3 linked regions of the Pelodiscus sinensis genome follow. The protein of the gene in region 3 purifies or fractionates together with the protein of the main gene of each other region. This does not show direct contact. Links are inferred from orthologs where the notes say so. Each region holds a gene or a part of one and is shown on either strand. Other genes may lie near its edges.

Region 1 (7,913 bases), on a different chromosome or scaffold from region 3:
TTTGTGCTCTAATAACTTGGACACTATAAGAGCTACCACAACCAAACTTTCCATGGGCTAACCTTTCTTCCAGGAGAAGGTTTTAAGGTATTGTGGGAGGGAAGAGATGAGAGACCGACACCTCTCCCCGGGGGCTGCATGGAGCTTGGCAGTGCAGGGAGAAGCGGCTACCCCGCCATTGCTGGAAGCATATGGAGGCCCCTCTTCAATACTGCCATTGGCTCAGGGCCCGGTGGCCAACCATGGCTGCTGCTGAGGCTTGCTCTAGGTGGAGGGGGCAGGGCTTGTGTTACCGCTCAGCTGCCACTTTGAAAAAATGTCCGGAAGGAGGCACATCGGGGACCCAGAGGTGAGAGCGAAGCCTGTGGGGGGGGGGGGATCTCCCTTGAGGGGCACTGGCCCAAGGGGCAGCACTGGATGATGCTGGGTGGGTAAGAAATTAATCCAAGGCGAGGGGGGGGGAAATCCCTCAAATTGGCACTGGTCTGGATTTGATACTGGAAGATCCTGTGGGGGGTGAGAGATGCAGCCCATGGGAGGGGCAGCTGGTCCAGGGAGTGGTGCTAGAGGAGAGACTATACCGGTTAACTCATAGTTTCATAAAAAAAAAATGGTAGAAGAGTTTGAGGTGTCTCCTTGAAATCTCTCAGATTCAGTAGGGCCAGCCCCATTGATTGACACATCCCTATACTCAGCTATTGGATGAGAATTTGCAGACCCAGAATGCCTATCCCCTACTTCCCTACCAAAAAATTAGAAAAAAGTGGTCTCTGAACAGATGTCAGGGTGATTAAAGTCCCTCACGAGAACCAGGGCCTGTGATCTGGAAGCTTCTCCCAGTCGTCTGAAGAAAGCCTCAGCTACCTCATCCACCTGATCCGGTGGCCTGTAGCAGACACCAACCACAACATCACTGCTGTTGTTTGCACCTCTAAACTTAACGCATAGACTCTCAACAGGTTTTCCTTCCTCCATATACTGGAGTTCTGAGCAATCATAGAGCTCTCTTACATACAGTGTAACTCCTCCTCCTTTTCTCCCCTGCCTGTTCTTCCTGAACAGTCTATACCCTTCCATGACAGAATAATGATAGAAATGTAGCCGTGTTAGTCTGGTGTAGCTGAAACAAAATACAGGACTATGTAGCACTTTAAAGTGCTACATAGTCCTGTATTTTCTTCCATGACAGCGCTCCAGTCATGCGAGTCATCCCACCAACTCTCTGTTATCCCAATGAAATCATATTTCTTGGACTGGGCCAGGGCCACCAGTCCTTCCTGTTTGTTTCACAGGCTTCTCGCATTCGTGTACAAACACCTCAGATAACCAGTTGATCACCCTATCTTCTCCATTAGAATCAGGGGTCCTCCTTTCTTGCTTGTTCCTCTTTGCATATCTTCCCGGTATCCGACTTTCCCACTCCCCTCAGGGTTTTGGTCACCGTCCCCCAACAAACCTAGTTTAAAGCCCTCCTCACTAGGTTTGCAAGCCTGCCCGTGAAGATGCTCCTTTCTCTTTTCGTTAAGAGATGGATCCCATCTCTTCCTAACAATCCTTGTGCCCAGAACAGAGTCCCATGGTTAAAGAAACCAAAGCCCTCTCTGAGACACCACCTGTGCAAACAGACATTTACTTCCTCAATTTGATGATCCCTGCCCAGTCTTTTTCCTTCAACAGGGAGGATGGATGAGAACACCACTTGCGCTCCGAATTCTTTGATCCGTCTTCCTAGTGCTACATAATCTGCAGTAACCTGCTCAAGTTCATTCTTGGCTGTATCATTAGTTCCCACGTGGAGGAGGAGGAAGGAGTAGCGATCTGAAGGTTTGATCAGTTTTGTAAGCCTCTCAGTCACATCCTGAATTCAAGCTCCTGGTAAGCAGCACACCTCTTGAGAGCCAGATGGATGGCTCAGTCCCTCTTAGGAGGGAGTCCCCGATCACCACCACCTGTTGTCTTGTTTTGGGGTTGATGGTTGTGGAACCCCCATCCCTAGGACTACACATCCCATGCCTTCCAGTAGATGGTGTTCCCTTCCGGTTTCTTGTTTGTGAGGTCCCTTCCAAAGCATTCAGCACTGCAGAGCCTGTGGAGAGAGCTTAAAAGCGATTACTTACCTCTATAGCACTGGGGGATTCCTGTGCTGGCCTTTTTCTCCTTCTAGAAGTTACATGCTACCAGTTCTCTTCCTGGTCTTGTGCTGCCCTCTCTGGCTCCTCCGCCTGCCTTGCTTTCAGGATTAAACTCTGCCTTCTATAAAGGAAGTCTTCATCCTCTCTGATCAAGTGTAGGGGCTACACTTGGGCCTCCAGTCCTCTAATTTTTTCTTCCAAAATGGCGACCAGCTTGCACTTATTGCAGATGAAATCCCTTCTTTCTTCCAGGAGGAAGACAAACATTGCACACGCTGTGCAGGTAACAACAGCAGACCCATCACCATCCATACCTGCTGTCCTGGAAAAAGGATTTAAAAGAATGGCAAGAGAACCTTGCCCCCTTCCCAACTCCCTCTCTAAACTCCCTGTTAGCACTCACCTGTTCACAAGCTCCTTGCTCACTGCTTTATAAAGCCCTGGAGTGCCTGAAAGTCCCTCCCCCTACCAAGGCTCAGCCAATCAGCAGAGGTTTCTACAATTCAAACTTTAATTAGAAGCCAACAGTTTCCACCTGCCAGTCACAGCACACACTCCGGGAGGGGGAGGGGAAAGGGGAAGGGAGAAAAAAAAAGCCTCGCTCACAAACACAAGCTCAGCACACAGCAAGAAAGCCCCAAACACAACACACACTGCAGACAACCACTCCCCTCAAGAGTCCTGTATCTGCTTCTCCTTTACCTGGAGAACTCCCTCTCTAAATTCGCTGTTAGCACTCACCTGTTTGCAAGCTATTTGGTCGGTTGCTCACTGCTTTATAAAGCCCTGGACTGCCTGAAAGTCTCTCCCCCTACCATACTGGCCAGATGTCAGGCACTGGCAGCTGCAGTGTGGTTGGAGGCTGTCAGGACCAATTTCTGTTTTTCTAAATTTTGTTCCTCCAGTTTCCCGGGAAATGCCAAGTAAGTCCAGCCAGTAGAATATACACATTCAGCAGATTGCAAGCTTTTCAGTGACGGTGCCACAGTTTGCATAGAGCTTATCTGAGTTCTTGTTCATATTCAAAAGAATAGTTCCATAAAAAATATGGGGGTGCAACTTCACACTTTGGATATGTGGCAAATGGCAGACTTGGCAACTCCTCACTTGGGCTAGTCTCCTCCAGGGGCAGGGCTTGGTGCAGTGTGGGTTCAGCTCCAGGGCTCTGCAAACCCCTAGGCTGTGTCTACATTGGCAAGATTTTGTGCACAAGTGGCCACTTTTGCGCAAAAACTTGCCACCTGTCTACATTGGCTACAAGTTCTTGCGCAACAACGCTGACATTCTAATGTAAGAAATCAGTGCTTCTTGCCCAAGAACTATGATGCTCCCACTCAGGAATAAGCCCTCTTGCACAAGTGTTCTTGCGCAAGAGGCCAGTGTAGACAGGCAACATGAATTTCTTGTGCAAGAAAGCCCGCTGGCTAAAATGGCTTTTCTCTTGCGCAAAAACACATGCCAGTGTAGACGCGCTCTTGCGCAAATACTTTAACGCAAAAACTCTTGCGTTAAAAGTATTTGCGCAAAATCTTGCCAATGTAGACGTAGCCCTATTCTCTCCCCTTCTTTTCTAGGCCTGGAAGCCATCTACTCCCTTCTTTGGCTCAGACTCAACTGCATCAAGGGTTCTGTCTTTTAGGCTGTCTTTCTCATCCCTTGGGTTCTGGTGGGAGAGGCAAGCCTGGCTTAGCTCTGACCACTAGGAATCACCAAGTTGGCTCTTCATCCTCCAGCTCAATGGAAGGTCACTCAGCTTCACTACAGCATGGTATTGTGTTGGAGATTTGAGTTCTTGTGATGGGCCCCCTCAGGCTATGTCTACACTAGCAGCTTCTTGCACAAGAACTGTTTTGCGGAAGAGTTCTTGCTCAAAAAGTCTTCCACAAGAGCGCGTCTACACTGGCATGTGCTTTTGCGCAAGAGCATCCATGGCAGTGTGGATGCTCTCTTGCACAAGAAAGCTCTGATGGCCATTTTAACCATAGGGGCTTCTTGCGCGAGAAATTCATGTTGCCTGTCTACACTGCCCTCTTGTGGAAGAGCTCTTGTACAGGAGGGCTTATCCCTCCTGGGGAGAAGAATAACTCTTCCAGAAGATGCCCTGTTTTACAATGCTATACTGTAAATATACTTGTGCAAGAACATGCGTGCAGTGTAGATACCGGGCAAGTTTTTGCCAAGAACAGCTGTTTTTGCGCACCTTCTTTCAGTCTCTCCTCACTTTCTCTTTTCCTCCATTTGCAGTGCTCTAACACCTCCATGATGAAACACTAACAGGAAAAACAGGAGGAGGATGGGGGGAAGAATTCTGTTGGGTCGATGGGTTGGGAACTTCGGGGCTGTAGCTCATAGACGCCCTGCGGGGTGGGGTGCTGCAATGCTGATGTCTTGGGCCCAGCTGCTTCAGGATCAAGGGGCTCTTCGGCCAATCCCTGGGGGGGGGGGGGGTGGCAAGCCAGGGTCAGGCTTGCAGCAGGGGATGGTACCAGCTCGGCCAGCTGCCTCGCTAGCCACCTGCATCCCAGAGAAGGGCGGGGCCCTGCCTCACACGTGCCGGAAGGGGAGGGGAAAGGAGACCCGCGAAAGTTCCGCCTCGTCCCGCCCCTTCCGGCGCACAGTTGAGGCCCCGCCCCTTCACCTGCCCCCTCCGAGGCCCCGCCCTGGGGGGGGGGACCCCTGTTTCTACCCCGCCCCACTCCCCTCCGCTTGGCCCCGCCCCTCCCCCGAGAGCCCGCGCCAGCCCCCTCCCTCGCGGCGGCGCCTCAGCCGCGGCGGCCATTTTGTGTCGCTGCTCGGTCGGTGGCGCGGGGCTCGCGCGGGGAGTGGGGCCGGGCGGTGACTGGCTCCTTTCTCGCCCTTTCGCGGCCGATCCCTCGGTAAGACACCGGCAGCGGCCGGGCGCCCGGCCCCGCCCCGCAGCGGCCCGTCCCGAGGAGGCCGGGCCCCGCGCGGAACGGGTCCGCCCAGCCGCACAAAGGGGGGAGGGGCGGGGATGGGCTGAGGAGGCCCCGGGCGCGGGCTGGACGCGCTCGCGGGGCTCCGCTGTGGCCCGGGGCGGGGCCCGGCGCGGGGAGGTGAGTATCGGCGGGGCCGGGCGGCGCGAGGGGCTCTCCCGGGCGCTGCCGCCTCAGCCCGCGTGGCCGCCGCCGGTGCGCGCGCCGGGCGGGAACCGAGGGCAGCGCGGGGCGGCGGGAGCCGCTGCAGCGTCTGGCCTGGCCGGCCCGGGGCGCCCGCTCGCTGCGGGCGGGATGGAGCCGCGCGCGGCCCGGGAGCAGCGGGCGGGCAGTGCGGCCTGGCTCCGAGCGGTTGTGTAACCGGGCTGAGCAGCGGGCGCGGGGCCGTGCGTGTCTGAGCCCCGCGGCCTCTGCAGGGGACGCTGGGCTCCGTTCCGCCTGGGCGAGACACCGCGGCGGGGGGAGGCCCTGGGGGAGCAGGAAGCGCCTCTGGGGGGGGTCTCATGTCTCCGCGAGAAAACGGCAGCGAGCGTAGGGAACGTTGTTTGTCCCGGGAAGGGAATCTGGCCGGGGAAAACTCTGGCCTGACACTTGGTTCTGTTTCTACCTTGGTGAATGGCTGCTGCTTTCGTTAGCTTTGGTAAAAACCATATGGGTTTCAGAATGAGTCGCGCACACAAGCACTTAGTTACACTCAAAGGGGAGACGTTGACGTTTTTGTTAGGCAGTAAAGCAGAAACAGAAAGTAACACTGCACGTGTCAGAATAATGGGCAAAGTGGGTCTGCACTGAGTTTCTCACTTCTAGTGAACTTGGATTCAAATCATTCCTATTGTTTCATCAGGCAAGTTGGTTTACAGACTCACTGGGAAATCTGGCAGAATTTAATCTCTTGTAGAAAGACTAGAAACTAGGGATGTCAAATACCCGTTAATTGAATAGTCGATTAACTCATGAATTCTTATCAGTTACTTGACTATTCTGTAGTCCTTGGGGGTAGGGCCAGCAGCCAATGTGACTTACTCCCAAGAAGCCCTCGGCCACTATGCGCTGCTGCCTCTTTATCCGAGGCAGCAGCGTGGGGTGCCAGGTGGGAGCTGGTTCATGAGGGGAGGCAGTTTAAAAACCAGTTTCCCTGGTGGACCTGCTGCCTGTTACCCTGCACTGCTGCCTCTGATCTACAGGTAGCAGCACAGAGTGGCAGCAATCCCTGTGAGAGGGTGGGGGACAGGGTCTGAGCTCCTGGACCCAGTGTGAGTCAGAACTGAGCTGGGCTGCCTGTCTGGCTCCTAATGCACTTCAAATGCAGAGCTGTAGCAGGGGTAGGTCCCAGACCTGGTGCAAGCAAGGACTGAGCCTGGCTGCTGGCTAGCCTGCTTAAAAATTTACTGGTGGGGATGGAGGAGGGGGAAATCCATGTAGTATATGGCATTAACCTATAATCTTTTGTTTATTGGTTAATTGACTACACAATTACATCCCTACTAGAAACACAGGTAGTTTAGGTTAGAATGTAATTGTATTGGTAATACTATATGGCTGCGTTTAGACTGGAATCATTTTGTGCAAAAATCTTGCCGCCTGTCTACACTGGCTGCGACTATTTGCGCAAGAACACTGAATTTGTAATGTACAAAAGCAGTGGTTCTTGCACAAATACTCCAATGCTCTTGCTCAGGAATAAGCCCTCTTGCGCAAGAGGGCCAGTGTAGACAGCCACGTTAATTTATTGCGCAAGAAAGCCCAATGGCTAAAATGGCCATCAGAGCTTTCTTGCGCAAGAGAGCGTCTACACTGGCACGGATGCTTTTGTGCAAAAGCAAATGTTTTGCACAAAGGCACGTGCCTGTATAGATGCTCTCTTGCGCAAATACTTTTAACAGAAAAACTTTTCCGTTAAAAGTATTTGCGTAAAATCATGCCAGTCTAGACACAGCCAATGTGAAAGCGATGCATCTGCTTATTTTTTTCTTCGTTTCACTCTGGGCAGTTAACTGACTTTTGAGAACCACATAGAAAAGTATGTCTATGCTCCCAAATTAATGTGTAGCATTAAATGTTATGTGGCTCTGGAAAAATAATTTGAATTGGCGTATAGAAATTACAAGTCTTATCCAAACTAAAGGGATATCTGAGAGGGATGTTAAAAAAAATCTTTATTTTTTTTAAGGTGTTGATTGCTCGCTAAATACAATAGCTAAATGGTAGAAAGTGAAGTTGACATTCCCTGCACTCCATTCTCTGAAATTCTATTGTTCTTCATGCCTTGTTTCCTGAAGGGCCATTTGCAGCATGCTGCCCATTGGGGTTCTGTGTCCTGCTAGACATTTTGTTTATCGTTCTCTACACACAGGGTTGCCAGATTCTGTTGGTTTTCGTTCATGTAGATTTTTTCCTACCAATTATTAGTAAAGTGATATTCACATAAAGCAAGGGCATTTGACGTAGGGATGTTAGATACCGTGTATTTTAGTAATTGTATAGCTGCAACAGTTTTTAGTAGTTACATGGTTATTAAAATAGTCCCGGGGGGGGGGGGGGGGCTGGCATCCAGTGCGGTCCGAGCTCTCTGCTACCTTGCGCTGCTACTTCTGATGAAGAGGCAGTAGTGTGGGATGGCAGCAGCCCTTGTCTGTGGAACAACCAAGCTCCCCACAGACTGGGGCTGCTCTGGAGGCAGCGGGGAGGTGGGGAACAGGGGCCTCCGCGGGAACCGGCTAGTGCAAGAAGCAAGCTTAAAGCTGGTTTTCCCCCTGGTTGCCGGCTCTCATACAGGCAGATACAATGGTAAGGGGGGAGAAAGGGAGGAGAGTTGAGTGTAGTTGTT
Region 2 (7,754 bases), on a different chromosome or scaffold from region 3:
CCCCGGGGCTATGTCTACAGTCGCAGTTCCTTGCAGTCAAAATATGCAAATGAGGCTAAGCGTGGAATATCACCGAGCCTCATTTGCATACCTAATGAGCCACCATTTTTGCAGAAGAGGTTCTTGCACCAGAAGGAGCTGTCTACACTGCCCCTTGCACAAGAAAACCTCTCTTGTGCAATGCCATTACACTGATTATTTTCAGGAAAAACGGCATTGCGCAAGAGGGGTTTTCTTGCGCAAGAAGGGGCAGTGTAGACAGCTCCATCTGGCGTAAGAGCCTTTTCTGCAAAATGGCATCTCATTAGGTATGCAAATGAGGCTCGGCAATATTCCACTTAGCCTCATTTGCATATTTCTGCCACAAGAAGCCGTGAGCGTAGACATAGCCTGAGTCTCCCTACTGGACCCAGCTCCATAAAATCACTAACCCTGGAACACCAGGGGCTATGTCTACACTGGTGGCTTCTTGCGCAAGGGTTCTTGTGCAAGAATTCTTGCACAAGAAAACGTCCACACTGCCATGCGTGAGCTGTGTGGACGGTCTCTTTCGCAAGAAAACTCTGATGGCCATTTTAGCCATAGGGGTTTCTTGCGCAAGAAATCCCTGCTGAGCGTCCACACTGCCCTCTCGCACAAGAGCTCCTGCGCAAGAGGGCTTAACCCTTTTTTTTTTAAAAAAAAGAGCATAGCTCTTGCGTAGGAAGCCCTCTTACCACGCCGTACTGTAAATTTCCTTGCGCAAAAGCCGGCAGGCAGTGTGGACACTCTGAAGATTCCTGCGCAAGAATGGCTATACTTGCGCAAGAAGCCGCGAGTGTAGACATAGCCCAGAAGAGTAAATTTGGCCTGAGGTATTGGACCTCAGTCCTCCCTGAGCTCTCTCCACCACAGGTCTGGAATACCAGAGAAGTGAGGTTTCTCCGATGGAAACCACATCTGTGAGGATTGGGGATCTTTTATTTCTCATTTGTGTGCCCCCCGAACTGATTTTTCTATGGGTGGGTGGCCCCCTAGCATAAGAAAAGGTTCCTCCCACACACCATAAATAAAGATAATATTGAAACCTTTTCTGTTGGACATAATATTTAACTTTATTTAAAAAGACATTTGATAAACTAACATGAGAAAGTTAAAGTGCTTAATCTGTTTAATAATTTAAAGTAGTACTTCCTTTCCTACCAGTTAAATTAAACCATTCTCCCTAGCTGCAGCACTAGCAAAACAGGCATAATTATGTAATTAATGGTGAGTTTCTATTAGCAACTGGTGGTCCTCAGAAAGGTTTGCATTGAGCCAGATGGGCCACAGGCCAAAAAGTTTGAGAACCACTGCCTTAGCCCATGCTTTGTGAAAATCTTAATGAAAGTGTCGCATGAAAAACATTATGCTTTCTCCTGCTGCTATTTCCAAGGAGATGACAGCAGCACTCAGAAGCTCTTACATCTTTTCTTCATATGGCTTCAGCATCCAGAAAACTCCATGGATTACTAACTGTCATCCACCACTATAAACCCGCTATAAAAATTTACCATGAGCCAGGAAACAAATTCAACCCTTTATTGTCTACCAATATTAAACCATAAACTTATCCCCATCCCCTACCAATATTAAACCATAAACTTATCCCCATCCCTTTCTCTTCTCATTGCATCATAACCCCACAGACATTGCAGTCTTACACCACAACCCTCCTCATTCCAGCCCTTACCTCTTCCTACCGCCTCACCAACTAACTCTCACCCCTCTAATTATAGTGATAGAAATGTAGCCGTGTTAGTCTGGGGTAGTTGAAGCAAAATGCAGGACAATGTAGCACTTTAAAGACTAACAAGATGGTTTATTAGATGATGAGCTTTCGTGGGCCAGACCCACTTCCTCAGATCAAATAGTGGAAGAAAGTAGTCACAACCATATATACCAAAGGATACAATTAAAAAAAATGAACAAATATGAAAAGGACAAATCACATTGCAGAACAGGAGGAGGATGCGGGGGGGGGGGGGGGAGAGGAAGGAAGGTGTCTGTGAATTGATGATATTAGAGGTGGGGAGAGTGGGATGTTTGTGAGTTAATGGTATTAGAGGTGATAATTGGGGAAACTGTCTTGGTAATGGGTGAGATAGTTCAAATGTTTGTTAAGTCCTTGTTGGCAAGTGTCGAATTTTAACATGAATGACAGTTCAGAGGATTCCCTTTCAAGTGCAGATGTAAAAGGTCTTTGTAGCAGAATGCAGGTGGTCAAGTCAGAGAGATTGTCCTTTCTGGTTAAAATGGCAAGAAACTGTTTTCTCTTTGTGATCTTGTCTGATATCTGTTTTGTGGGCATTAATCCTTTGGCGAAGTGTCTGAGATGTTTGTCCAATGTACATAGCAGACGGACACTTTCGGCACATGATAGCATAGATTATATTTCTGGATGCGCAGGAATATGTGTTCTTGATCTTATAACTCACTTGGTTAGGTCCAATAATGGTATCAGCAGAATGAATATGTGGACAAAGCTGGCAACGGGGTTTGTTGCAAGGGAAGATACCAGGGTTGGTATTAGTGTGGTATGTCCTGTGGTGGTTGGTAAGAATCATCTTGAGGTTAGGTGGTTGTCTATAGGAGACTATGGGTCTGTCTCCCAGAGCCTCTTTGAGTATGGTATCCTGTTCCAATATAGGCTGTAGTTTATTGATAATGTGTTGGACAGGTTTAAGTTGGGGGTTGTAGGTGATGACAAGTGGTGTTCTATTGTTGGTTTTCTTGGGTCTGTCTTGAAGTAGATGGTTTCTAGGTATTCGTCTGGCTCTTTCAATTTGCTTTTTTATTTCTCTGGGTGGGTAGTTGAGATTTATAAATGCTTGGTAGAGATCCTGCAGCTTCTGGTCTCTGTCAGTGGGATTAGAGCAGATGCGGTTGTATCGAAGGGCTTGGCTATAGACGATGGATCGCGTGGTGTGTTCTGGATGGGAGCTGGATGCATGTAGGTAACTGTATGAGTCCCACCCCATAACACAAGCCCTCATCCCCTAACATACCTCAATCTTTTTCCACCTCCAAAATAATGACCCTCATCCCCTTACCACTTATACCCCACACACTTCTCACCATAACACTTACCTCATCCCCCATTAATTTATACTCCAAACCACCCCCTCCCCACAGCACTGACCCAGAACCCCCACTGCCGCACGACACCCCTGCCCTCCCCATTCCCAGCACCCCCAACTTCCGCACGACACCCCCGCCCTCCCCGTTCCCAGCACCCCCCACAGCCGCACGACACCCCCGCCCTCCCCATTCCCAGCACCCCCCGCAGCCGCACGACACCGCTGCCCTCCCCGTTCCCAGCACCCCCCCCAGCCGCACGACACCGCTGCCCTCCCCGTTCCCAGCACCCCCCCCAGCCGCACGACACCCCTGCCCTCCCCGTTCCCAGCACCCCCCACAGCCGCACGACACCCCTGCCCTCCCCGTTCCCAGCACCCCCCACAGCCGCACGACACCCCTGCCCTCCCCGTTCCCAGAACCCCCCACAGCCGCACGACACCGCTGCCCTCCCCGTTCCCAGCACCCCCCACAGCCGCACGACACCGCTGCCCTCCCCGTTCCCAGCACCCCCCACAGCCGCACGACACCGCTGCCCTCCCCGTTCCCAGCACCCCCCACAGCCGCACGACACCGCTGCCCTCCCCGTTCCCAGCACCCCCCGCAGCCGCACGACACCCCTGCCCTCCCCGTTCCCAGCACCCCCCACAGCCGCACGACACCCCTGCCCTCCCCGTTCCCAGCACCCCCCGCAGCCGCACTACACCCCTGCCCTCCCCGTTCCCAGCACCCCCCACAGCCGCACGACACCCCTGCCCTCCCCGTTCCCAGCACCCCCCCCAGCCGCACGACACCCCTGCCCTCCCCGTTCCCAGCACCCCCCCCAGCCGCACGACACCGCTGCCCTCCCCGTTCCCAGCACCCCCCACAGCCGCACGACACCGCTGCCCTCCCCGTTCCCAGCACCCCCCACAGCCGCACGACACCCCTGCCCTCCCCATTCCCAGCACCCCCCACAGCCGCACGACACCCCTGCCCTCCCCATTCCCAGCACCCCCCACAGCCGCACGACACCGCTGCCCTCCCCGTTCCCAGCACCCCCCACAGCCGCACGACACCCCTGCCCTCCCCGTTCCCAGCACCCCCCACAGCCGCACGACACCCCTGCCCTCCCCGTTCCCAGCACCCCCCACAGCCGCACGACACCCCTGCCCTCCCCGTTCCCAGCACCCCCCACAGCCGCACGACACCCCTGCCCTCCCCGTTCCCAGCACCCCCCACAGCCGCACGACACCGCTGCCCTCCCCGTTCCCAGCACCCCCCCTGCCGCACGACACCCCTGCCCTCCCCGTTCCCAGCACCCCCCACAGCCGCACGACACCCCTGCCCTCCCCATTCCCAGCACCCCCACAGCCGCACGACACCCCCGCCCTCCCCATTCCCAGCACCCCCCACAGCCGCATGACACCCCTGCCCTCCCCGTTCCCAGCACCCCCCACAGCCGCATTACACCCCTGCCCCGCCCACCCCTCTTATTCCCATAACTCCCTCCCAAACACCAAACCCGCCCCCTCCCTTCCCAGGATTCCACTTCCGGTGCTCCGCCCCCCCGCCGCAAAGCGGATGTCACGCGGCGCGGCAGCTCCCCGGTCACGTGAGGGGTCCGATGGAGGCGCCCGGCTCCGACTCGGCTGGTCGCAGGGAGGTGACGCATCGGCTGGGCGCTGGGGCGCGAGGGGCGGGGCGCGGCGCTGGGAGAGGGCGACGATGGGGCTGTGAGGGAGGCGCACCCCGCAGCGAGCTGCTCACCCCCCGGGCCCGGTCGGAGCGGGAGGCGCCGCGGCCTGCGGAGCCGGCTGGGCTTGCGGCTCGGGCGCCGGGCCGGGATCGGGCGCCAGGCCCAGCGGCTGCCGTGGGAGGCGGAGAAGGCGGTAAGCAGAGCGGGGTGCAGGGGGCTCGAGCCGGCCCCGGGCCTCTCTTCCCCCCCCCCCCCCCGGGGCCCCGGGTGCGCCCCGCCCCCCTGCCCCTGCGCGGAGGCTTCCTCCACCGGGCCTGCGATTTCAAACCTCCCCTTGCCCCCCAAGTGGCTGATGCCTGGGGGCTCCTCCCCGCCTCCGCCAGGGACTCCGGGCTCCCCTTCTCCTCCCCAGAGACATGGAGCGGTCCAGGGCTTGGGCCTCCCCTGTGTCCCCCCCGCCAGCCCAGACAGTCCTAGGGGCCCAGGGCTGGGCGATCTTCCTCACCCTCCCACCACCCAGACACAACAGAGCAGGGCTGGTGGCTTCCCTCGCATTCCTCCCTCAGTCCACATAAAGAGAGTGGCCCCCCTCTTGAGACTCTCCCTCCCACCTCGCACACGGACCAGAACAGGGCTTGGATGTTACTCACAAAACAGACCAGCCTAAGCCCTTGGGAGGAAGATCTTACCTTGTCAAATTAAAATAACTTGTGCTTTTGGATGAAATGTTCTTAGCTACCCTGGAAGCACATACAATGCAATATTTTTTTATAGAGATTGTAGGGAAATCAATATTTTTTATGTATTGCCTTTTTATTGTGGTTGCTTAGTACGCTTCTGTAGTGGTCATTCTTTCCTCTGTATAGACTGTCCCTTTCCCCTCTTGATTGTATGACTTTTCATGCAGTAACTGGGCAGGGGGAACTTAGGGAAGTGTGATTATGAAATTACTAGAACTGATCATGAATTATGGCCAAATATATTATTAGAGCAAATTTTCATTTCTTTTTTAAAGTAAACGATTGCAGATTGATGGTGTACTTGTTTGTGGGTGTGTGTGGGGGAGGGGGGAAATAAGCACAACGATCTAAACATTTCCAATTTTAGTGCATTATTAGATCTTCCAGTGATAAGTGCTATTATTTATTATAGATCTCTCTTCGTGTGGGTAAAATATATACTTTTGGAATGCTAATTGTACTTTTAAACAACAGTGCTTTCTGCTTTGTAATATAAAAACATTTTTCTCCAAAGATAGGGGGATAAAGGAAATAGAAGTTACCAGGATGAGTAAAAAGCCTCCAAGTCGTCCAGGGATCACGTTCGAGATTGGTGCTCGTTTGGAAGCACTGGACTACTTACAAAAATGGTAAGGAAGACATACGATGCTTAATTAGGCAAAAATACCATGAGCCATCTGAAGCTTCATTTTTTGGGGGTTTGTATTAAAAAATAACATATCTTAATTCAGTCCATATACTAATTTGGTGAATAGTCTTATTTTTAAAACATCAACTGAAGTGATTATAGAATGTTAGGAAATCATCTCGCCAAACATTAAATTGAAAGTCATGAAAGAAACTAATATTTTAATCTGGCATTTCCAGATGTTAGATTATTCTCTTTGGCACTGGTATGTGTTTATTATAACAGTCTGTCTGCTAAAATATTTGTTAACTATGATATTAAATGAAAAACTTATTCAGAATACTCTGGCATACAGAGTCACATGCTAGATGGTTAAGTGTATTCTTGTGTAACTGAAGTAATAACTCAAGGATCCAGTTTTGTTTTAAGGTGTAAGGAGATTTCACAAATTTGAGAACTTGATATAGTATTCATTAATAAAAGTTTCCACGCATTACAATTAATTCTTATTGTAAGGTAAGTACGTTTAACAGTGCGCGTGGGAGCGGGGAAATGGAAGCACCAATCTTGTGACTTGGCCAGGTCACACACCAATTGTGTTAGAGCTAGGATTTGAAGTAAGATAGATTGGAAGGGCAAGTCAGCAACACTAATATGGACACTGTTTAACACTTATTTAAAATGCTGTATCGATTACTTTAGTGCTATTATGATGATGCTCTAAGCTAGTGGGAGAGATTTTCTCCTGTTGGCTTAATCACTGCTTCTTGCAGAGGTGAATTATTATATCCGCTGGAGAAGTTCTCATTGACAGTGGTAGCTACACCAGTGCTTAGGTTGGTATAATGATGTTGCTCAGGGATGTGGATTATTCACACTCCCTGAGCAATGCAGTCATACCAAAGTAATTCTGTAGTGTAGATTAGGGTTTAGTCTTCCAGTAACTGTTTACTTGGAGTAAAATCAGACAATCCAATTTTAGTAATGCAACCTGGTTTGGAAGTACGGTCTCAGTAATCAGTTTGAAGGAAATGTTGCTATAATGGATCAGACCTATAGTCTGTCTTGTCTTGTCTTCTGTCTCCAACATTGGTTATTGCTCACAGCTTCAGAAGATGTTTATTCTTCACATCTATCAGTTAATAAGTGGGGGATGCTATCAGTCATGTAGATCAGTATCCCTTTCACATTTTCATTCTTTCTGATAGAAAGTGTCTAATCTTGTTGCTCTCAATAATAATGGATCCTGGGGTGGAGAGCCTGGGGCCGGATGCTGCCCCTGGCTTGCCTGGATCTGGCCTCCGAGGCTTGGGACTCCTCCCCCCAATCCCCAGCATTGGGGAGCCCAAGCTAGCACTCCAGCCTCCCCCCTCCTGCTGCCTCCCATGGAGCTGGAGCATTCAAAATCTACTAGCCTGGGCCTTCCTAGGCCCTGGTGTGCAAGGGGAATATGGGGAGTGTCATTCTCCTTCTTAGTCAAGGGCCGTGTCAATGAGGATTTTTTTGCTTCTTTCGTGTGTGCTGCCCCCGACTGATTTTTCTGTGCATTAGTGGCCCCTGACCCTGAAAGGATTCCCCATCCTTGCTAAATGCCATTGAGTTCCACAGGCTA
Region 3 (7,749 bases):
CCCACACGGGCGAGAAGCCCTACGGCTGCCGGGAGTGCGGCAAGTGCTTCAGCCTCAGCTCCAACCTCATCAAGCACGAGCGCACCCACACCGGGGAGAAGCCCTTCGCCTGCGGCGAGTGCGGCAAGCGCTTCAAGAAGAAGACCCACCTGGTGTCCCACCACCGCACCCACACCGGGGAGCGGCCCTACGAGTGCACCGAGTGCGGCAAGCGCTTCAGCCAGAGCTCCACCCTCATCGAGCACCAGCGCATCCACACCGGCGAGAAGCCCTTCCGCTGCCCCGACTGCGGGCGTGGCTTTTACGTCAACTCCAAACTGGTCAAGCACCGGCGCATCCACACTGGGGAGAAGCCCTACGGCTGCAGCGTCTGTGGGAAGAGCTTCCGCTATAAGCAGCAATTCACCCGCCACCAGAAGCTGCACCAAGGAGAGGAACCGGTGGCCGTCCTGACACTGGGGGGGGTTAACGTCCTCCTGACTTAGGACGGGAATTCCTTGAACCTCCTGCATTGGAGCACTGGAATTCCTCGACTAGATTTCCTGCAGCTGTGGGAGTGGGATCTAGTGGTTAGGGTGGGGGTAGGGACTGGCAATCAGGACTCCATGGCTTTGGAAGGGGAGTGGAATTTAGTGGGTAGAGCAAAGGGGGACAGGACTCCTAGGTTTTCTTTCTGGATCTGGTAAGGAGGCAGAGTATCAGTCTGGAGTCCTAGGTTCTACCCTGAACTCTAGGAGGGGAGCGAGATAGAACAGGGTGGCTGGCAGTGGAGACTCCGGGGTTCGGTTCCTAGTGAGAGGTTGGGGAGGGGGGTCTAGTGGCTTAGTGAAAGGAGTCAGCGCTCTGGAGTTGTGTTCCCAGCAAGTTGCTCCCAGCCTGAGAGATACTACTTTAGTATGTTTGAACCTTTCCCAGAGCCAGACTGCTCTGGGGTGCCCCTCTTGTCTAGGGCAGCTGGTTATATACAACTGTTCAGTACTCTCCTGTTGGGATCAGAGCTCCCAAGCAGAGAGCCTACTGGTTAGTTATTGCCACACTAAATTTAAGTGAAGCCTACTCGAAATAACTTTCTGCAATTGAGAACCCTTCCGTTCTAGAGACTAACAGACTGTAGACTCTGAACAGTACCAAAGGCAGTGTTCTTGGAATTTTGACTGTGTTATATCGCCTTGTGTATGCTAGTTCTGTGTTTGTGTATTGGGAACAATACCAGCCCTGCTCTGCTCTGGTGCTATGGTGGAGATTTATAAGTAGTTGAAGGAAGGAGTGGGTAGAATTCAAATCTAAACTCCCCACCTCAGTATTAACCTCATCGCACCAAGTCATTGTAGCAGGTTCCATCCATTGCAGCAGAAGAGAGAGGGCTTATCTGCATTGGGAAACAGAAGCTACTGCAGTCATGGGTGGGTTCTCTCTTCTGGGAGAAGAGGGATTTGATTCCTGCATAAGTGCTCTGTTTCATAAGCTCACTAATTATCCCAGAGGAGAGTGGCCACATGGGGAACTTGTTCCACATCAATTTTGGTCAGTGTCCCCATCTAGACAAGCGCCCAAAAGAGAACTGGAGGCCGGTATTCTCCTCTAGGGGTGGGGAATGTGGTCTAGTGAGAGCAGGAAGGACTGAGAATCAGGTCTCCTGGGTTGTTTCTGTGTCTGCTGCTGACCATAAGCAGGCAAGTAATTTCTTCACTCTGTTTTCCCCCCTCTTAAATAGGGTGATAACACTACTGACCTGAGTATTTTCAGTTAATATTTAAAAGCATGGTATAAGTATTAATACTGTAAATAGACCTGCCACTAGAGGGCATTAAGTACACTACATGAATGAATTATGATATAATTTGGGGACTGTAGACAGAGATTCAAATTACTACCTCCTTGTAACTGAGGCTGTGGTGGATAAAGATGCGTATCCCTAGTGTTACATGCTGTCCAGTGTTGCTTGGCCAAGTGTTATGCTCAAATGGGCCATTGTTGAGTGGTCACGTAGTAAAGGATTGTATTGTATATTCTAGTAATACTGGGCGATAGCCTTAGATCACCCTAATTCTGTTTTGTGAATTTAGCAGGTTTTAGGGGGGTTTTTAATTTAAATGTAATCCAAACAGATATTCTGGTCATTAGCCAAACTACACCCATGGGCTATTGGCAATTCAAATCAAAGGGCTAAAGAAAATGCTTACAGTAATATCAGAGATTAACTTGAGCTGTCAGTACTAGTCATGCTCATATGCTGTTGGCTGGTCCATGGAGAGAAGGCAACAATGTTGTGCTCATACTTGAGTCATTATGATGGAATCACGTTGGATGTTGTCATGTTTGGAAGGGGAAGGAACCTAGGATGGCTCCTCCCTGTCTGTGGTTGTCTTGTGTTGACTGACTGTACGGGCGCGCGGGTGATGTTTCCTTTGACGTAAAACCCCAATAAATCACACCCGTTTCAACACCCCTGCCGTGCCCGGTCTGATTACCTGGTGAGTGCACGGGTGGGGAAAGAGGGGGGGGGGGGAGTAGGCAGGATGCCTGGCCCCTTTTCCCGGGGGGCTGGGAGCCAGATTCCTGGGTTCTGTGCAAGGGGTGGCGGTGACAGGAAAGGGCGCTGGGGAATGGGAACGGTGCATGCTGGGATGGGGGTGGACACTGGGGTACGGGGCGCGGTGCATGCTGGGATGGGGGTGGACACTGGGGTATTGGGAACGGTGCATGCTGGGATGGGGGTGGACACTGGGGTACTGGGAACGGTGCGTGCTGGGATGGCGGTGGACACTGGGGTACGGGGCACGGTGCGTGCTGGGATGGCGGGGGACACTGGGGTACGGGGCGCGGTGCATGCTGGGATTGGGGGGGACACTGGGGTACGGGGCGCGGTGCATGCTGGGATTGGGGGGGACACTAGGGTACAGGGCGCGGTGCATGCTGGGATGGGGGGACACTGGGGTACAGGGCGCGGTGCATGCTGGGATGGGGGGGACACTGGGGTACAGGGCGCGGTGCATGCTGGGATGGGGGGGACACTGGGGTACCGGGCGCGGTGCATGCTGGGATGGGGGGACACTGGGGGTACGGGGCGCGGTGCATGCTGGGATTGGGGGGGACACTGGGGGTACGGGGCGCGGTGCATGCTGGGATTGGGGGGGACACTGGGGGTACGGGGCGCGGTGCATGCTGGGATTGGGGGGGACACTGGGGGTACGGGGCGCGGTGCATGCTGGGATTGGGGGGGACACTGGGGGTACGGGGCGCGGTGCATGCTGGGATGGGGGGGACACTGGGGTACGGGGCGCGGTGCATGCTGGGATGGGGGGGGACACTGGGGTACGGGGCGCGGTGCATGCTGGGATGGGGGGGGGACACTGGGGTACCGGGCGCGGTGCATGCTGGGATGGGGGGGGGACACTGGGGTACCGGGCGCGGTGCATGCTGGGATTGGGGGGGACACTGGGGGACGGGGCGCGGTGCATGCTGGGATTGGGGGGGACACTGGGGGACGGGGCGCGGTGCATGCTGGGATTGGGGGGGGACACTGGGGTACCGGGCACGGTGCATGCTGGGATGGGGGGGACACTGGGGGTACGGGGCGCGGTGCATGCCGGGATTGGGGGGGACACTGGGGGTACGGGGCGCGGTGCATGCCGGGATTGGGGGTGGACACTGGGGTACGGGGCGCGGTGCATGCCGGGATGGGGGGGGACACTGGGGGTACGGGGCGCGGTGCATGCCGGGATGGGGGGGACACTGGGGTACGGGGCGCGGTGCATGCCGGGATGGGGGGGACACTGGGGTACGGGGCGCGGTGCATGCTGGGATGGGGGGGACACTGGGGGTACGGGGCGCGGTGCATGCTGGGATGGGGGGGACACTGGGGGTACGGGGCGCGGTGCATGCTGGGATGGGGGGGGACACTGGGGTACGGGGCGCGGTGCATGCTGGGATGGGGGGGGACACTGGGGTACGGGGCGCGGTGCATGCTGGGATGGGGGGGGACACTGGGGTACGGGGCGCGGTGCATGCTGGGATGGGGGGGGACACTGGGGTACGGGGCGCGGTGCATGCTGGGATGGGGGGGACACTGGGGTACGGGGCGCGGTGCATGCTGGGATGGGGGGGACACTGGGGGTACGGGGCGCGGTGCATGCTGGGATGGGGGGGGACACTGGGGGTACGGGGCGCGGTGCATGCTGGGATGGGGGGGACACTGGGGTACGGGGCGCGGTGCATGCTGGGATGGGGGGGGACACTGGGGTACGGGGCGCGGTGCATGCTGGGATGGGGGGGGGACACTGGGGTACGGGGCGCGGTGCATGCTGGGATGGGGGGGGACACTGGCGGTACGGGGCGCGGTGCATGCTGGGATGGGGGGGGGACACTGGGGTACGGGGCGCGGTGCATGCTGGGATGGGGGGGACACTGGGGTACGGGGCGCGGTGCATGCTGGGGTGGGGGGGGGACACTGGGGTACGGGGCGCGGTGCATGCTGGGGTGGGGGGGGACACTGGGGTACCGGGCGCGGTGCATGCTGGGGTGGGGGGGGGACACTGGGGTACGGGGCGCGGTGCATGATGGGATTGGGGGTGGACACTGGGGTACGGGGCGCGGTGCATGCTGGGATGGGGGGGACACTGGGGTACGGGGCGCGGTGCATGCTGGGGTGGGGGGGGGACACTGGGGTACCGGGCGCAGCATGAAGGGAACAGGGCGCGGTGCATGCCGGGAGGCTGGGGACGCAGGGCGCGGTGCATGCCGGGAGGCTGGGGACGCAGGGCGCGGTGCATGCCGGGAGGGTGCCGTCCTGCCGCCTCCCTTCGAGACCCTGGCCCCGCGGCTGCCGCGGGCACGTGACGCGGTGCGCGTGACGTCACCTCCGGGCGCCCGCCACGCGCGGGCGGGCGGCGGTTTGTTTTCGCGAGGCGCTTCCGGCCTGTCATGGCGGCCGAGCCGGGCGGCGGGAGCCCCCCCCGGGCCGGGCGGCGAGGAGGAGCGCGAGGCCCGGACCCTGAGCCCGGGGCCGCCGCGCGAGGCCGAGGTCACCGTGGAGATCGGGGAGACCTACCTGTGCCGGCGCGCGGACGGGACCTGGCGTGAGTCCCCCCCCCCCCCCCGCCGGACCCCCCCGGGACTCCCCCCCCCGCCGGGACCCCCTCCCCCCCGCCGGGAAACCCCCCGGGACACCCCCCCCCCCCGCCGGGACACCACCCCCCCCGGGACCCCTCCCTCCGCCCCACCCCCCCCCCCCCCCCGCCGGGACTCCCCCCCCGGAACCGCTCCCGGAACTCCCCCCCCCCCCGCCGGGACTCCCCCCGGGACTCCCTCCACCCCCCGTCCTAACCCCTCCCCCCCGGCTAACCCCTTTGGGCCCTGCTCCCCCGGGTTCCCCTCCGCCCTGAGCCCGGTCTCTGGCCTGTGCCTGGGGCCGCCAGGGCCCCCCCCCCCCCCCGCACTCTCCTCTGGGCCCGCCTGTTGCCCTCACTCCCATTGCGCCGCCCCCAGCCCCTGTGGGAGAGACCCGGCCCCAGAGAAGCCCTGTCGGGATTGGAAATGTGCAGGACTAGTCGACTCCCCCCCCCACCCCCCCTTTGCTGTATCAGAGCAACGCGGGGGGGGGGGAGAAGGGGCATTTCAAAGCAGCAGCGCTGCACAGCTGAGCCAGACATGCCGCCAGCATGGAGCCCCGGGGTCAGCAGGGGACTCTGAGTCCTCGTCCATCCCTCCATCCCGTACCCCCCCCCCTTCCCCAGCTAGTCCTGACCTCGGCTCCATGAGGGCACTGTGGCTTTGAAATACACAAGAGCCCCTGCTGGAGAGTCTTGTACATTTCAAAGCTGTCCCAGTGCAGCCCAAAGACTTCCTGCTGCCTGCAGAGTTCCACATTCCTCCTTCGAAATGTACAAGAGCCCCAGCAGGTGCCTACCGACGAGCTGATGGAAACTCCATCAACTAGTCAATTAACTGCAATTTAACATCTTTAGTCAGGATAAGCCCAGGGCTTCCAGCTCTCCCCCTTCATCCTCTAGCTCTGTGTTGCCGCACAGACGGGTCCTGGGGTGAGAGACCTGCCCCTCTTGTGAAAGTAGGTCCTGATCTCTCTGATCACCAGTGCCACTTAGCCCTCAGACTTTCCCAACCATGTGCCCACAGGACATGGCATAAAGGCTTCCCCCTCCCAATACGTCCCATTCCCACTCTTTTTCACTGCACCAGTGTAAACTGACATTATAGAACTGCCTGAAATAGGAGAAATTTAAATATGTCCTAAATCTCTGAGATTTCATGGGGAAGCTATTGGAAAATAAACCAGAGGGTAAATCTAAAGCATAGCTGTTATTCCACGTGAGTTCTATGGGTGGGTGCTCTAATTCTGCACTAAGAAGGCTTTTCCCCCTGAGACGGATGTGTCCTTAGTAAAGGATCAGAGGGGTAGCCATGTTAGTCTGAATCTGCATAAACAACGAGAAGTCCTGTAGCACCTTATAGACAAACAGATTTATTGGAGCATAAGCTTTGGAGGGCAAAGACCCACTTAGTCAGATGCATGAGACGAAGTGGGTCTTTGCCCACGAAAGCTTGTGCTCCAGTAAATCTGTTAGTCCATAAAGGACTTCTCATTGTTTACCTTAGTAAAGCATTTGTCTGTCATTCAGTGTAAAAGGGCTACCATTTTTCAGGGCAGACATTGCACCTAACCCACTCGTTCTTACTTCCTCTGCTCATCTAAGCTGGCACTAACCTGGTGATTGTCTTGCAGACTCAGCCGAGGTGATTCAGTCACGACTCAACGAGCAGGAGGCCCGGGAGGAATACTATGTGCACTATGTCGGATGTGAGTACGGCCCTGGGTTTTGTTCCTGTGGAGGGGGATTAATGTGGGTGACTATTTACTAAGTTCACTATGGAAGCACCTAAGAGTGTGATATTGTTAATTCCTTTCCTCCCCATAGTTCATATTCATAACTGCCTCATTTTCACCTTTACCATGAGTCTCTCACCCATACCCCCACAAATCTATGGGAAATTACCCTGCAGAATTCCTCATTACAGGATTTCCTAGGGGCAAAGAGGACTTTGCCCTTCTATAGCACTGGAGATCTAAGGATATGTCTGCTCTACCTGACTTTGGCAGGGGTGTGATTTCTAGAGGGCTAAAATCAGGACCATTTGGTTCCAGTGCCCAGGTGTTGAGTGTTTTGGGACATGGTGAGACTGTCACTCTACAGATAGAAGCTGGATAGGTTCCTTACTGCCCCATCTTAACCACAGTCAACCGGCGCCTGGATGAATGGGTAGATAAGAACCGGCTGGCCCTCACCAAGACAGTCAAAGATGCAGTGCAGAAGAACACAGACCAGTACATGAACGAGCTGTCAGAGCAACCCGAGCGTAAGATCACCCGCAACCAGAAGCGCAAACATGACGAGATCAACCATGTTCAGAAGGCAAGTGCACTGGGGGGAAGGGATGTTGCCTGGATCAGGGCTGGGGAGCTCAAAGGGGAGCAGTCTTCCCTCCTAGTCAGTGCTGACACCAGGGGGCGCTATGCTGTAGGGGTTGGGGTGGAAGGTTCAGTGTGGCCTCAGTTAAACTCTGTGATGCAGTGTGGCAGCTGCCTGATACTGGGTTGTCTCCTCATAGACCTACGCAGAGATGGATCCCACCACAGCTGCCCTGGAGAAGGAGCATGAGGCGGTGAGTGGCCCAGGGCATTGGCCTGGCATCTAAAAGGGCGGGACCCCGGGCCCTTGCTCTGATCGCTAA

The links.
Region 1: the proteins of KAT8 (region 3) and PHF20 purify together in Homo sapiens (affinity purification with mass spectrometry; 3 studies listed by BioGRID and IntAct, counting the BioPlex papers as one, with this or other methods). This does not show direct contact. The link is inferred for Pelodiscus sinensis from reciprocal best matches to the Homo sapiens genes KAT8 and PHF20.
Region 2: the proteins of KAT8 (region 3) and PHF20L1 purify together in Homo sapiens (affinity purification with mass spectrometry; 3 studies listed by BioGRID and IntAct, with this or other methods). This does not show direct contact. The link is inferred for Pelodiscus sinensis from reciprocal best matches to the Homo sapiens genes KAT8 and PHF20L1.

The regions. Positions count from the first base shown.
Region 1 is NC_134728.1:32,241,012-32,248,924, forward strand, and holds the start of PHF20 (PHD finger protein 20), read left to right. Parts: upstream 1-4,852; 5' UTR 4,853-5,008; intron 5,009-7,913. UniProt on the Homo sapiens protein: Methyllysine-binding protein, component of the MOF histone acetyltransferase protein complex.
Region 2 is NC_134712.1:13,904,804-13,912,557, reverse strand, and holds the start of PHF20L1 (PHD finger protein 20-like protein 1), read left to right. Parts: upstream 1-4,673; 5' UTR 4,674-4,702; coding exon 4,703-4,967; intron 4,968-6,028; coding exon 6,029-6,143; intron 6,144-7,754.
Region 3 is NC_134714.1:131,608,171-131,615,919, forward strand, and holds the start of KAT8 (histone acetyltransferase KAT8), read left to right. Parts: upstream 1-4,666; 5' UTR 4,667-4,681; coding exon 4,682-5,078; intron 5,079-6,742; coding exon 6,743-6,817; intron 6,818-7,254; coding exon 7,255-7,430; intron 7,431-7,626; coding exon 7,627-7,680; intron 7,681-7,749. Other genes in the region: uncharacterized protein LOC142829375, read left to right, coding at 1-485.